3 linked regions of the Saccharomyces cerevisiae S288C genome follow. The gene in region 3 interacts genetically with the main gene of each other region. Each region holds a gene or a part of one and is shown on either strand. Other genes may lie near its edges. The genes, in order: CDC50, SCD5 and ARK1.

Evidence for each region.
Region 1: mutations in ARK1 (region 3) and CDC50 together harm fitness more than expected from each alone (negative genetic interaction), as found in Saccharomyces cerevisiae (2 studies listed by BioGRID).
Region 2: of ARK1 (region 3) and SCD5, a mutation in one rescues a mutant of the other (synthetic rescue), as found in Saccharomyces cerevisiae (one study listed by BioGRID).

Annotation. Positions count from the first base shown.
Region 1 is NC_001135.5:284,762-289,647, reverse strand, and holds CDC50 (aminophospholipid translocase regulatory protein CDC50), read right to left. Parts: upstream 2,887-4,886; coding exon 1,711-2,886; downstream 1-1,710. Other genes in the region: YCR095W-A (uncharacterized protein), read right to left, coding at 1-9; OCA4 (Oca4p), read left to right, coding at 390-1,478; CCR4-NOT core subunit CDC39, read right to left, coding at 3,205-4,886.
Region 2 is NC_001147.6:936,464-941,349, reverse strand, and holds SCD5 (Scd5p), read left to right. Parts: upstream 1-2,000; coding exon 2,001-4,619; downstream 4,620-4,886. Other genes in the region: DNA-directed DNA polymerase gamma MIP1, read left to right, coding at 1-1,729; ATP-binding cassette multidrug transporter PDR10, read right to left, coding at 4,853-4,886. UniProt on the Saccharomyces cerevisiae protein: Regulates both fluid phase and receptor-mediated endocytosis. Involved in vesicular transport at a late stage of the secretory pathway. Regulates actin cytoskeleton organization.
Region 3 is NC_001146.8:595,108-599,993, forward strand, and holds ARK1 (serine/threonine protein kinase ARK1), read right to left. Parts: upstream 2,433-4,886; coding exon 516-2,432; downstream 1-515. Other genes in the region: histone deacetylase HDA1, read left to right, coding at 1-240; YNL019C (uncharacterized protein), read right to left, coding at 3,269-4,123; YNL018C (uncharacterized protein), read right to left, coding at 4,829-4,886. UniProt on the Saccharomyces cerevisiae protein: Involved in regulation of actin cytoskeleton organization and endocytosis.

The sequences.
Region 1 (4,886 bases), on a different chromosome or scaffold from region 3:
AACTGTCATCCAGAAGCCCAATGCTCAAGCTTTGAATATCATATTTTAAAAGTTTTTTATGACAATGAAATTTTGTTTCTCCAAGTCAGGACACGGGGAAAATCTTTACTTTTAGTGCTATCCATAAATATACAGTTCTTTAGCCCCATATTTTATCAGTAAAACTACTTATGGCTGTCCTTACCGTATGCGGTATAATGAAACTTTTGAAAGGAACATCTTAATATACCGCCTTGACATATCCGGGTAATAATAATACAATATTCGGAAGTTTTCTAGCATTAAATGGACAGTAAGGTAAAGAAATGAGATGTGGTTGTTATATGGAGATCGTAGAATAAAAAGAGAGACACTTACAGCACTGGTGCGATCCATAACCTGAATTCATAATGCTGGTTCCACCTGCTAACTTTGGGATTGCTGAAGAAGGAATATATAGATGTTCTAAAGTGGAGACATTAAATTTATCCTTTCTGGAAACTCTCAATTTAAAGACAGCTATATTTATTGGAGGTCAAGAACCATCCAAGTTTTTCAAAGATTTTTTCACAAGATCATCCATAAAATGGATTGTTTTAAGGATGTCTGATTTCTCGGCTGCGGCAGTTCCGGTAAAAAGCTCTTCTGTATCTAACGCAAATTTATATTCGAATAATAACAGTACTCTATCATTACAGGAAGAAAAGAAAAAATCCACTGCAAATGGGTCACAAAATTCTACTACAGGGGATCCTGTAATTCAGGAGGAATTGGCTTACCACTTGACTGACAATGATGACTTAATGCTGATTAAGAGCACGTGTTTAAAAAGAACTTTCAAAACATTATTGAATGTGGATAATTATAATGTTTTATTGGTAGATAAGACCGCGTTGGTCATTGGTATACTTCGAAAAATTCAGAAATGGAATATTGCATCAATCATAAATGAGTACAGATTATTTTCTGGTAAGAATAGAAATTATTTTGCGGAAACATTTCTAGAAATAATTAACATTGAGATAGAACAGGAGAAGGATAATAAGACAATTGTGGACAACAAAGCAAAAAAATTGCCCCTTGAGAATAATAGGACGCATTCGATAGAGTATAAGGCCAATTCTGGCAAACTTATTAGAGTAAATGAAGATGACCTTTGCAGAGAGCCAGAAGTGCCTCAGCGGCTTTTGACATTAATAAATCAAATCGAAACCAAAGTGAAAAATAATAAAGTATTACAAGTAAGTGGAGTTCTAGGAGACGATTTGAAGAAAACCTCTTCTGACCTAGGAATTTTTGGCCATAGGTATAGATTAGCATTTAATAAAAAAGAAAATGGAGATTATGGCTATTATAAAGCAAGGGGAAAAGATAACGTCAAAATAAGGATACCCTGTGATTCTGAATTACCAGATTGGTTCAGGTTTCAACGAGATTTGTGGGAAAAAGAAAACGTTCCGGAAGAGCATCACTTTTATAGGGAACATATTTTTACATAGTTTACATTTTTACGTATATGTATAGATGATTTCATGATAAACGTTTTCCACTTTTCTATCATTTCATCATCTAAATGGGAATAGCAAACCCTGGGAGTTCTTTGTCGCACTATTTTCCAAGCGTAAAAAGGCATACTTCAATTTTTCTTTTGTTTACGTTTCAGGAAGTCAACAAAACTTGTTTACTTATAAACACAAATACCTACAGGCACTAAAGTTTGTTTTTTGGCCTCTATAAAATTTCCCTCAATGTTGTATTCTCTGCGTGTACATCCTCATAATCCTCGTTTTCTTCATCATCAAAATTCAAATAAGTGTGATCACCCATCGCTCTTGGTTGGAAGATTAATTTAACCAAAAAAATGATGCCAAATAAGGCGCAAAGCCCTGCAACGATGAGGTACAGTACGCCTAGTGACATATTTCTACCACCAATAGCTCCATTTGTAGTCAGTACAAATGATTTTGTGCCACCAAAGAGTGAAATCGGATAATTCAACTCAATGTTCATTTGATATTTACCCTTCGGTAAAGAAGCAGATTCATTTTTCAACGTCAACTTGTAAAACTTGGGAAAGGCTGCAGTCCTCATCCATACCTGGAACTCTTCCCAAGTATGGATATCAGGAAGATTTTCATCTGTATACCCATCGGGATACTTCTTCATCCAGTTTGGCGGTGGAACAATATCGCTAGCATTATACTTGGTGGTTTTAAATCTGTGACGATCAATACTCCATGATATATGCTTGTTAGTTAAATTATAGTCTTCTGTGTCATCTATACCACTCAACACCTGAGAAAATGTATCATTAAACATGGAATTAGCGATCAACCCACAGGGATATATTATTTTGTCTTCCCTACTTCTTATTGGACTACAGCTTGTATCCAGATCATCTTTTTTGATAGGCTCCCCTAATATTTGCTTTGTGTCAAACGATTGGACATATCTGCGATGATTTTGATAAAAATTGGTTATTTTATAATATATAAAAATGGATTTCTTGATATCGTTTGGGATTTCGAACTGCAGTTCGCATGATTGTTCGCCATTTTCATTTTCGGTTAGCCTCCATTGTGGTTTATTTTCAACTTTACTTTTAAAGTGATATTTAATGTACTTCTTTGGTATATCTTCAAAAGCAGTTGTAGATGCTTTTGTATCACAATGACTATAATCAATTGTTAGATCTTGTACCTTAGTAGCGCTTACAATGAGTCCAATACCAATAGGAGTAAATATACATGCAACGAATATTAACAACGGAAGCACACTTTGAGGAGACAGTATTGGTTGCCATGCCTTAAGCCTTTGTTGTCTAAACGCTGTGTTAGGAGGCTTTTTAGAAGTGGGGCCTTCTTTCGTGAGCGGTGGAGCCTTACCTCTTTTGAACAATGAAACCATATACAAGCTGTTCTATAGAACTTCAAGTTCGATTACTCAATTATTCTTTGTTCGCAGTGCGTCATGGACATAAGGTAATTGCAGCTCTTGTTTGATATAAATTGATGCTCATTATTATTATTATTCTCCAAAACAATAATACGGGTAACACTAATTTTCAGTAGTTCAAAAGTGAAAGCGACCCATATACAGTAAGAAAAGTTAATCGAAATTGCTTCTATTCTTATTCAAAATAGTATTCTCTGAAATATAGTATTATACAAGTTATATTTTTTTTTCTGAAATCATGATTTTCGTATATAAATAAATGCAGTTTTTTTATGCGTTGGATTGTAGAGGGGTTTGCCTTCTATTGATGGTGGCGGATTGGTCATCTTGTTCACTGGTTGTGTATTTTTTGGAATATTTTACTAATTGTTGTAAAATTAGTTTAATTTCGGGAACACTTTGTACAAAGGGCAGGTCTAAAAGATTAATATCGTTATTGTTTATCAACTGAGTAAAGAAAACTGAAACACCCCAGGTATGTGGTTTGTTAACAATAATTCTTTTTAAAAAGTTTCTTAAAATAATTTCTTGGACTTCAAGTTTTTGATCATTCCATTCGTCACTTTTGAACATATTCATTAACACAAAGCTGAACCAATAGGTGTGGATGTTTGGATACCGCAATTGTTCCACAATAGACAGAATAATTTGATATTTCATTTCGATGCTACCATTTTGAATCAGATTGAACAATAAAGTATAATAAGAAGACTTCGTATTAAATACCGCATTTGAAGAAGTTCTCTTATACTCTATTCCAGCTTCAATGCCCACATGTAATACAATAGCGCGAATTAATTTACTATCAACAGATAAAAAGTCGTAGCCTACGCCCTTTTTTATGTCATAGGTATCCTTGTAAATAGCGCTTAGTATTGTTCTTAATAATGAATTTGAGGGAATACGTAGGTAGTTGTCAACTGGCTTTTTCAATGAGTGTAAATCAATTACAGGATCAAAGAAGACTTCAGGTAGTTCTTTACATGCTGGAATATCCTCCATATTAAGATCCACGTCATATGGGTTGGGAACGGTCATATTCTTAGGAATAGCAGATAAAATAACATTCTTTAGTTGGAAATATGTTGGAGGTAGATTGTTCATTAATTCATAGTGATTTTCAATCAAAAAGGATGGCATATCATTCGAAATGCCTAAAATAACACGCAGTGTTCCCTTATAAACAACCGAAACAGCGTCAGAGACTGCATGTTTACTTGTGTATTGGTCCAAAAATTTAAACAAATCGATAATCAAAAGCATTAACTTTTCCCAACCTATTTTATTGGGTAATCTTAGCATAATTGGTAATAACATTCTGTGTGATAATAGTGTCACCCATGCAAATGAGAATCCAGGGAAGGCAAATGGTTGCAGAGCGTGCAAATATCCTGAGAAAGTGTTGTAAAATACAGAATCAAATTCGATCAGCTCCTGCCTAGTGCTGGAATCAGATATTCTAACAAAATTGTGCGTCCTGATGGTAGCCCATTCGTATAAGATGTTAGAAAATAGTCTGAAATATGGTCGTTCATTGAATGTGGTACCCTCTTGGCTATGATCCTTAGCAAACACTAAAACGATCACAGAAAATATTGCATTTATGTAATCTCTTCTTGTATCATCTTTGAAACCCTGTAAAATCAACAATTTTATAATTAGCGATCCTAGAGCATCAATAGCGATGAAAACCTCATCAGTCGGGTCACTTTCTTTGAATGAAGAAACTGATAGCTCAAGAGAACTTTTGACAAATGTAAGTAAATTATCAGTATCGCTGATAACACCCTTTTCGACTAATTGCTTGATAAAAACAGTTGTGATTACGTCGTTATTCTCAACTCTTTGAAGTAATTTTACCCATTCCGTAAATACTAAGTAAAGCTTTTCTGTTCTTGTGGTTTTGGTACCTTTCCTCACTGGCATTATCTTAGTATCTTCGAACTCTTTGA
Region 2 (4,886 bases), on a different chromosome or scaffold from region 3:
TCAAGTCAAAGCTCCTCCAGGTTATTGTTTTGTTGGGGCGGACGTGGATAGTGAGGAATTGTGGATAGCATCTTTAGTCGGTGACTCCATTTTCAATGTTCATGGTGGTACCGCCATTGGTTGGATGTGTTTAGAAGGCACTAAAAACGAAGGTACAGATTTGCACACGAAGACTGCTCAAATTTTGGGGTGTTCTCGTAATGAGGCGAAAATTTTTAATTATGGTAGAATTTACGGCGCTGGTGCTAAATTTGCGAGTCAGTTACTTAAAAGGTTTAACCCATCTCTAACTGATGAAGAGACAAAAAAAATTGCGAATAAGTTATATGAAAATACGAAAGGTAAAACGAAAAGATCAAAATTATTCAAAAAATTTTGGTATGGTGGATCTGAGTCAATTCTATTCAATAAATTAGAAAGCATCGCGGAACAAGAAACTCCAAAGACACCGGTACTGGGATGTGGTATTACCTATTCACTTATGAAGAAAAATCTGAGGGCGAATTCCTTTCTACCTTCAAGAATCAATTGGGCCATCCAGTCATCTGGAGTGGATTATCTACATCTTCTTTGTTGCTCCATGGAATATATTATTAAGAAATATAACCTTGAGGCAAGGCTTTGCATTTCCATCCATGATGAGATTAGATTTTTGGTGAGCGAAAAGGACAAATACAGAGCTGCTATGGCTTTGCAAATCAGCAACATATGGACGAGAGCAATGTTTTGCCAGCAAATGGGGATAAATGAATTACCGCAAAACTGTGCCTTTTTCTCGCAAGTAGATATTGATTCTGTCATACGTAAAGAAGTCAATATGGACTGCATAACCCCCTCGAACAAAACCGCCATTCCTCATGGGGAGGCGCTTGATATCAATCAACTGCTAGACAAATCCAATAGTAAATTGGGTAAACCAAATCTCGATATCGACAGCAAAGTATCACAATATGCCTATAACTACAGAGAACCTGTATTTGAAGAATATAATAAATCTTATACTCCAGAGTTCTTAAAATATTTTCTTGCGATGCAAGTCCAGTCAGATAAGCGCGATGTGAATCGGCTAGAAGATGAGTATCTGCGGGAGTGTACATCCAAAGAATACGCTAGAGATGGGAACACTGCAGAGTACAGCCTCCTAGACTATATAAAGGATGTCGAGAAGGGCAAAAGGACTAAAGTACGTATTATGGGATCCAATTTTTTAGATGGTACCAAAAATGCCAAAGCTGATCAACGAATCAGATTACCTGTCAATATGCCAGATTATCCCACACTTCATAAAATTGCTAACGATTCAGCAATCCCAGAAAAGCAATTGCTGGAGAACAGGAGAAAGAAGGAAAACAGGATAGATGACGAAAATAAGAAAAAATTAACCAGAAAAAAGAATACCACGCCTATGGAAAGGAAGTACAAAAGAGTGTATGGTGGCAGGAAGGCATTTGAAGCGTTCTATGAATGTGCAAATAAACCGTTAGACTATACTTTGGAGACAGAAAAACAATTCTTTAATATTCCTATAGATGGAGTGATTGACGACGTTCTGAACGACAAATCTAATTATAAAAAGAAACCATCACAAGCAAGAACGGCATCATCATCGCCAATAAGAAAGACTGCGAAAGCAGTACATTCCAAAAAATTGCCGGCAAGGAAGTCAAGCACTACAAATAGAAATTTGGTTGAGCTGGAAAGGGACATTACTATTTCTAGAGAGTACTAGGCAAAATCTGCATTAGCTTTCGCATTTGTATTTATATATACAGCACATTATAATATTATTTTTTTATTTATTTCTACTTACTTTTTTTCGCCAAATGAGAAAACAAAAGTAAGTTGCCCCTATTAGAAAAAGAGTTAACATTAGGAAACGGGGACAAAACAAAAGGTAGAATTCAAAATAGGAATTCAAAACCCAAATTATCTGCATCTTCTCGTTAGCTAAGATTTTATAGATCATTGCAGGCTCGATAAATTTTACATGGTAACGAAACATGTCGTTTGATTGGCTTAATGTTCCGGGATTGGACTTAAGCAGCGGGGACCAAGCAGAAAAGAGGCCATCGAATGGATTAGGACCACCCAGTGTGTCTTTTGATTTTGGTATAAATACTGCTGCTCCACATGATTCCAGCTTTTGGGATCAGGGATCAAGAAGTCACAGTGATACAACTTTGTCTTACAGAAATAATCACTCAAATACAGCAGCTGATAATGCCACTAACGTGAGCTCTCCTCAAAAGGATAATCCACCTAATGGGGAGGTACGAACACTTTCTGGAGGCGATGTGTACGCGGAGTCACCAGAAGACATGCAAGTCCCATTGTCTTTATCACAAAACCAACTTACCCATGAAGAAATAAGGACATATCTAAGATGGTACCACTATATATGTTTGAGAACCCATGGAAAACTAGTAAGATTGAACGACGTGTTTAGGTTCTTGACCAATTTTAATTTATCACAAAAAGTAAAAGATAGAATTGTGGAAATTTTCCGTAGCTGTAAAAATGCGTTAAATATTGGTCAATTTTTCGCTGTTTTAAGATTAGTTTCTAGAGCTATTATATATGGCATCTTACCTCTAAGACGCATGATCTTGGAAAAGGCACCTGTTCCCAAACCACGTCCTATCCTAAGTAGTGAGAATCACGAAGAGGTGTACGAGGAGGTGGAAGACGATGATAGTTCTGCCAAAACTGGTGATCAAAAGGTCGATTTTGACTCATTTGCTTCATTGCTGTTGACTGGTAAGACAACGAGAAAAAGAGTCAGGAGAAGAATCAAAAATTTGAATTTTAAGAGTAAGAAGGTTAGGTTTTCAGAGCATATAACATTTCAAGACCCTCCAAACCTCAATCAAGAATCATCTAATAATAGTGAAGCAAGAAAGCAAGATCCTGATGCAGAAGATGAAGATCAGGATTCTAATAATGACAGTCCTTTGGATTTCACATTGCCCATGGATCAATTATTAAAGAGGCTATATAAGCGGAGAAAAAACAGCGGATTAGTTTCGAGTTTGCCCAGCGAACAACAAGAAACTGAGGAGGAGAAGAAAGTTTTGGAGGATATGAAGGATTCCTTGTCCCATTTCAAACAAATACAGACTGTTGATTCTGCCTCATTGCCAATTTCATCGGTATTTTTACAGAATGGCAATACTCTACCAACTAGCAATGTGAATAACACCACTGTTCCACAGCAACTTCCGTTAGAACCTTTGAAGCCAACCGCCACAGGTTCAGCTAATCACCTGGTGCGAGAAGAATATAATCAGGGGTTGCATCCAAGCAACGGTGCCATCCAAACAGGTTTACAACCTTTAAAACCAACAGCAACGGGCTCTGCAAATTATTTGATGCGAAGTCATATGGAACAACCTCAGTCTATCAAACCTTCGAGTACACCAGAAACAGTTACAAACTCTGGGGGACTTCAACCTTTGAAACCTACCGCCACAGGTTCTGCAAATTACTTGATGAAACAGCATATCTCACCTTCAGTTAATAACCCAGTATCTTCGATGTTTCAGGCGCAATTTACGAACCAATCTTCATCTCCACAAAGTACAGGACCAGCATTTCTGAATTCTCCGAACATTACTCTTCCTCAAAGCAATCAACAGCAACCTTACCAAGAGGTTAATCCGACTCAAGCGAAAATTGAACCATCTAACATATCGCCTCAACACACCTACTCTAACAATGTTCGGATTAATAATGGTAACATCGTATCCATGCCGAAAGTAGAAATAACTGGTGCATTCCCCCCTCAAAACACTCTTCCTCAACATCAGCAATCGCATTTGCTTTCTCCTCAAAATACGATCCCGCAGCACCAACGGTCGCAATTGATATCTCCACAAAATACCTTCACTCAAAATCAGCCCATTCTTTCTCCGCAACATACTTATTCCAATAATCAAGCAACAATGATATCCCCCCAGAATACGTATACTAATAATCAACAGCAGCCCCAACATCTTCCACCTCCTCCACCTCCACGCGCTCAGCAGCAGCAACAAGGGGCCATTGTGCCACCTCAACATATGTACTCTAACGTGCAAAAGCAGAATAATTTGGTGCCGACCCAACCCTCCTATACAAATTCACCAAGCATACAATCTCCAAATTTTTTGTCACCTCAGAATGCTGCTAATAGTTACTTTCAATCTTTACTTTCTTCTTCACCATCTCCAAATCCTACGCCATCAAATGCGTCTACTGTTAATGGCAATAACGCCAGTAATGGCATAAGTTCATTCCAAAATACTAGTGCGGCAATGAACAATACTCAATCTCATCAGACGTATATTCAGCAGCAACAACAACAACAAACTCAACAACGAATATATGGTGGCCAACTTTCTCAAATGCAACAACATCCGGGGCAACTTCACTTAAACAACAGTGATATACATAGCCAACCTAACAAGCCTAATTACGGAATGCTAGGGCAGCAAGTTCATCAACAGCAACAGCAACAGCAGCAGCAATTTCCATTCACTGCAGATGTTAATAGATCCAATTCAAGCGATATTTTGGGTAACTTGCAGTCATTGCAGCAGCAAGTCGATGCTTTACAAATCCAATATAATAGGAGACCATAGTATCGTAAGCTAAACGAGGTGTATAGTTTTGAAAGATAATATATGTAGGTATATGTGTACATAAAGTCACAAAAGTGATGTAATTTATGAACACCTGTTTACTAGCATTATTTATTGTCTTGATTATTGAGCTAGTCTTTTAGTTTCACCAAACATTTAGCAACATGGCGTAAACCTCTGAACAATAGTTAACTAATTTTGCATATACAATGAATGTAGCCAGTAATATTTAATTATTTCTTTAATTTTTTGCTTTTCTTTGGAACC
Region 3 (4,886 bases):
AAGCCACTAGTTCCTCTAGTAGATGAAACATTGAGTGAATGGTACTTCAAAAACTCACTTATATTTTCAAACAATAGCCACCAATGCTGGAAAGAAAATGAAAGCAGAAAACCAAGAAAAAAATTCGGTAGAGTTTTGAGATGTGATACGGACGGGTTAAACAATATAATTGAAGAAAGATTTGAAGAGGCTACAGACTTTATACTGGATTCGTTTGAAGAATGGAGTGATGAAGAATGAGGAAAAACTGGCCATTAATAATTTTTTTTCGGCAACCTTCATGCCTTATGAAAGTTGAATAATAATAAAGTTGTTACAATGTTCATTGTATAATCCAATATATCTAAAATAGGAAAAAGAAATGAACAAATGCATTAAGCTGTGTTTTACTAAGTATTATGGGAAAACGTATACATTAAAGTGGATGCTTACATATATAACACATTGTAATAAAGGTTCTTTGAACATGTTACCAGCCTCTTCAGAGATCGATCCGGTTCTGTTGAGCCAAATACTCACTTATCCAAGGATAACTTTCGTCCCGCGAGGAGCAGTGGTTTTGGAGGAGGTTTAGGCTTTAAATGTGAAGGCTTAGGTGGTGGGGTAGGTTTTGTTTTTTTGTCTTTTGAAATCGGGCCACTTGATTTCAGCATTGTTGGCTTATCTATCTCCCCTTTCTCATGCAGCTTGACCTTGGACATTTTCCTAGCGTTGAATGACTCCTCAGAAGAGTTGAGTTTATCGATCATACGCTGTTGAATGGAGTTCTTCAAATTCTGCTTAGATACGTCCAAATCTTCATAAGATGGTTTGTTAAGATCGTCTTTGGAATTATCAATCGTATTAACGAATGTCGACTTAAAAGGTGAATTTTCGTGTTTCAAATTTACCTTTGTAGACGTTGGGGTGAAGCTAGTGCCTGGTAGGCTTGATGAAGTAAGAGATTCCTTTACGGATTGGTTTTTTTTTATGTTACCGCGTGTGGAATAAGAACCTAGAGATCGAGTTTTCTTTAATTCATCTACGTCTCCAGAATAAGATTCATCTGAAGAGGAAGAAGAATCTTCGTACTGGGGTATTATGTTTTGTAGTGGAAAGTCTATTGAATTATTCTGCCTAAAAGTATGTGCTTCAGAGACAATTGCCTGCTTTAACTTGGTTGCGGAATTTGCCTTGAGTTCGTTGTCATTATTTGAAACACTACTCGCTAGCGGTTCAACAAGTGGAGGATCCAATGCGTGGTACATATTCTGTGATTTGTCAAAAAGTGGTTGAGAACCTTTGGCGGAATTACTGAAGCTAGCGTCATATGCTATTTGTGATGGTTTTCTATTAGGATGCATTTGTGCTGTTGTAGTATTATCAGCCATGCTGATTTGAAATGTAGCGTTCGGCATCGTATTTTCCATGGTTGTGGGAGAGTTCAAGCTTAGAATATTTTGTGTTGCCGAAAGCTGATGAAGTTCGGTCAAATTCAAATGGCTACTGGGCGCCTGAACCACTTGTATGTCATTTATTGGACACGGAACATTTTGCATAATTGATATCCTCTTCAGTAGTTGATAAACGTTAGGCCTATGGCGCGGATCTTGAACCAATATATCACGTATTAAGCCTTTCAACTGTTCACTGTAGTTCGGATACAATGGAAATTCAAACTTTCCGCTTAATATGGCAAGATCACCGCCCTTTTCAAACGGTGTTGTGTAATAGCAAAGCTTATATAGAAAAATACCCAGCGCCCATATATCCGACTTTTCATCTATCGGCAGACCGCGAAATGTATCAATCATCTCTGGCGACCGGTACTGTGCAGTTGTGTTTTTCAAAATGTCTTGCTGAACATATGATAGCTCTTGTGAATTCCTAGGAGGCCTTATAATACCGCATACAGAACCAAAGTCACAAAGCTTGTACTCATTATTGGCTGAGATAAGAACATTTTCTATCTTTATATCACGGTGAATTAACGGAGGTTGCAAAGCATGCATAGCGGCAACTCCTTGAGTAACTTGGCTCATTATTTGCAAAATTTCAAATTCATGAAGCCTGTTTTGTAGCCTTGTGTTCATAAAATCAATGAGACCACCTCTTTCACAATATTCCATTAAGACGAATACTTCATACGAACCATTATGTAACATTGCCTTAGCTGCATGAGAATCAATGTAAGATACAACATACCTATTGTTTTTCAGCAACCTCATAGCATCTACTTCAGCTCTTAAAGTGTTTAGACTAGGTTTGTCTGGAACAATGACTCTTTTTAAGCATGCAACGCTTGAATTAGAATGTGGGTCAGGTGGGTTGATTAACGCGGAATATACTTGAGCGAACCCACCGCTTGTTAGATATTTAATGATCTCAACCTGATGTGACCCAACTGTTAACTGTGTACCTACATTGTAAGTGCCAATTTGAGGTTGATTCATGTTGATTTATCTGGTTGCTTAAAATACCTAATTATGCAGAGTAATATTTCTTTCTCAGGGAAAGAAGTTGGCAAAGAAAATATAGGACCACGAAGGAGAAACAATTAGCACTTTTAGGATGTTTCCTTGGCCTATTCTTATTTTATTATCATGAAAAAATTATTTTTTCTGCACGTTGATTTACCAAAAGAATAGTTAAATCAACAAGGCTTAGAATTCGGACCCTATTGCTGCGAGGCGAAAGAGGGCTATGCATAAACATGAGTTCGAAATAACCCGTAAATCATAAACAAACCTAAATAAGCCGTGGTTAGCGGCCTTTTTTCGTTATTACCCCAAGATAAATGTGCAGCTCTTGTAAGCTCAGCATACATACTTGTTGAGTGTGTCAGGAACTGTTTTCAGGAACCCAAGGTTGAAGTGTTAAAATTAAGAAGCTGGATTGTGCTCTCCATATTAAATGAAGCGTAGTTACAAATCGTTGGCATGGAGAAGTTTGCCTCGTGTTTACATTTACAATACTAAATAGTTGTACTGAGGTTTGACGAATATAAGGGAGTAAGGAGCGCATCGTGTTTCTCTCTTCAAGTTAATACTATGGAGACCTTGGCCATTTGAAAGTACTATAAAAAGCCACTGAAGTAGTATCATTCCCGGCTGCTTCCAAGTTGGCGAGCCGCAAGACTCAATGCCGCTGTATATTTTTACTGGGAAACAGGTTTGAGTGTTCACAGATTGAAATTTTTATTAAGACCTATTAAGTGAAATACTGACAGATACTATGTACATGTAGGGGTAAGTTGGTGTATGGTGTGTACAGCCAGGAGCAGCTCCATCTATAGCAAGCTTGAAGAGTACATATGGACGCTTAGTAACGTCTGGTTAGGCCGGTCTCTCGATAAAACCGCGAACCCGTTTCTTTCCCCCTGCCAGTCCTCTCTGTTAAGAGTTGAAGCCAGTTTAGTGATGCCGCCCAGTACTTCTATCGTATAATCTCCAAAAAGTGTGTATAGTTCGCTTACAGAGGGCATTTTCGATGAAATATCCGCGAACCCCAAGGCGCTCACTGATCCAGCATCTAAAATCGAAATACTCCCATGGTTGTGGTGGGATAGCGAGTCCAGAGTGTACTGGTCAAAGCATATCTCTGTAGACAAATCGTGGAATGGCACTATCGAGTTTTCTCCGACGGTCATGAGTAGACATTTCTGCCGGTTGCTTCCTTCGAACGGGTACACTAGTTTCTGAGTGATATCCATTTTAGTAAAAGCTTTCCCGACACCCTTTCCGAAGATTCTGCCGACCATTTCCCCAAATCCCAGTCCTACCATTTTTTCCATATCAGCATCGCTATTCAGCTTATTTTCCTGCAGATACTTCAGAAGATAGCCCCAAGCGGTGAGTAGTAGGACAATAAAGTTCAGCGCACAAGAAGTTATTTTCAAAGGACCCTTCCACTTAAATGGTGCGCAGTTGAAAAGAAACTGCATGGTTTGAATTATGTTAGTAGCAGTATTCAAAGCGGTTTCCGCTTTGTTTTGTGGTTGCGGTGCGGCAGTCACAGTTGTGATTTCGGTGATTGTTGACGTAGTAAATACAGTTGTTACATCGACCGAGTGACAAAGTACGGTTAGGGAGGTAACCAACGCAAGGAAAAGGACGGTTGTCCTTGATTCTCTGGAGTAAAGCATAATCTCGCGCACGCTCTTGCTATTGACAGCCTCGTTGTATCAACTTGTGTTTAGGAAAGGAGGCAGAATAAAGATTAAAAATGGAAGAAAAGACTCAATGGTTCCAGCGAAACAAAGATGTTTGAAAAAAAAAATAATTCAGAAACGAGTCTCTTGTCAGGAAAGCAGTGTCAGGAAAACAGTGTCTGTTCTATAGTTTGTGTTGTGTCCTTCAAGCACTTTTGGTGTTAAAAAACCTTGCTAAAGTTTTGTACAGGTTTATACCGTTGTGCAAAAACTGCTGCTAGGATAACTGAACAGTTGTTTCTGTGGCAGATGTTGTGAATAGGCGCCTTTATTTTAAGGGTCCAGTGATCCGCGATGTGAATAAATACGCGCGCCTCTCTCGAAGGAACCTTCTGGGGCTGCTTCTGTCGATAAGAAAGCTTGGCAAAGGCCTTACTTGGCATTTAAGTAAAGCCTTTGCTTTACTGCTTCTTTCCCGCCTTTTTGGTGCATTGGGTTAATTGATGAATATGCGTAAAATTTAAATCAGACTATGAAAACATATATAACAACTATTACAAGAGAGGTGGTAGTCTACTTGAAGAGGCGCGCCAGAAGAAAACGGTGGTAAGTACGAAGTTATGTGTAGACTAACTTGCTTGTTAAAAAGTATTTGGTCAGCCGTGCCAAACAGTTCGAACTATCAGAACTTCTGACGGTTCACTGATGTACAAAAGTTGAGAGCCATTTTCGTAACCAGCTTTTTGTCCCACGCTCA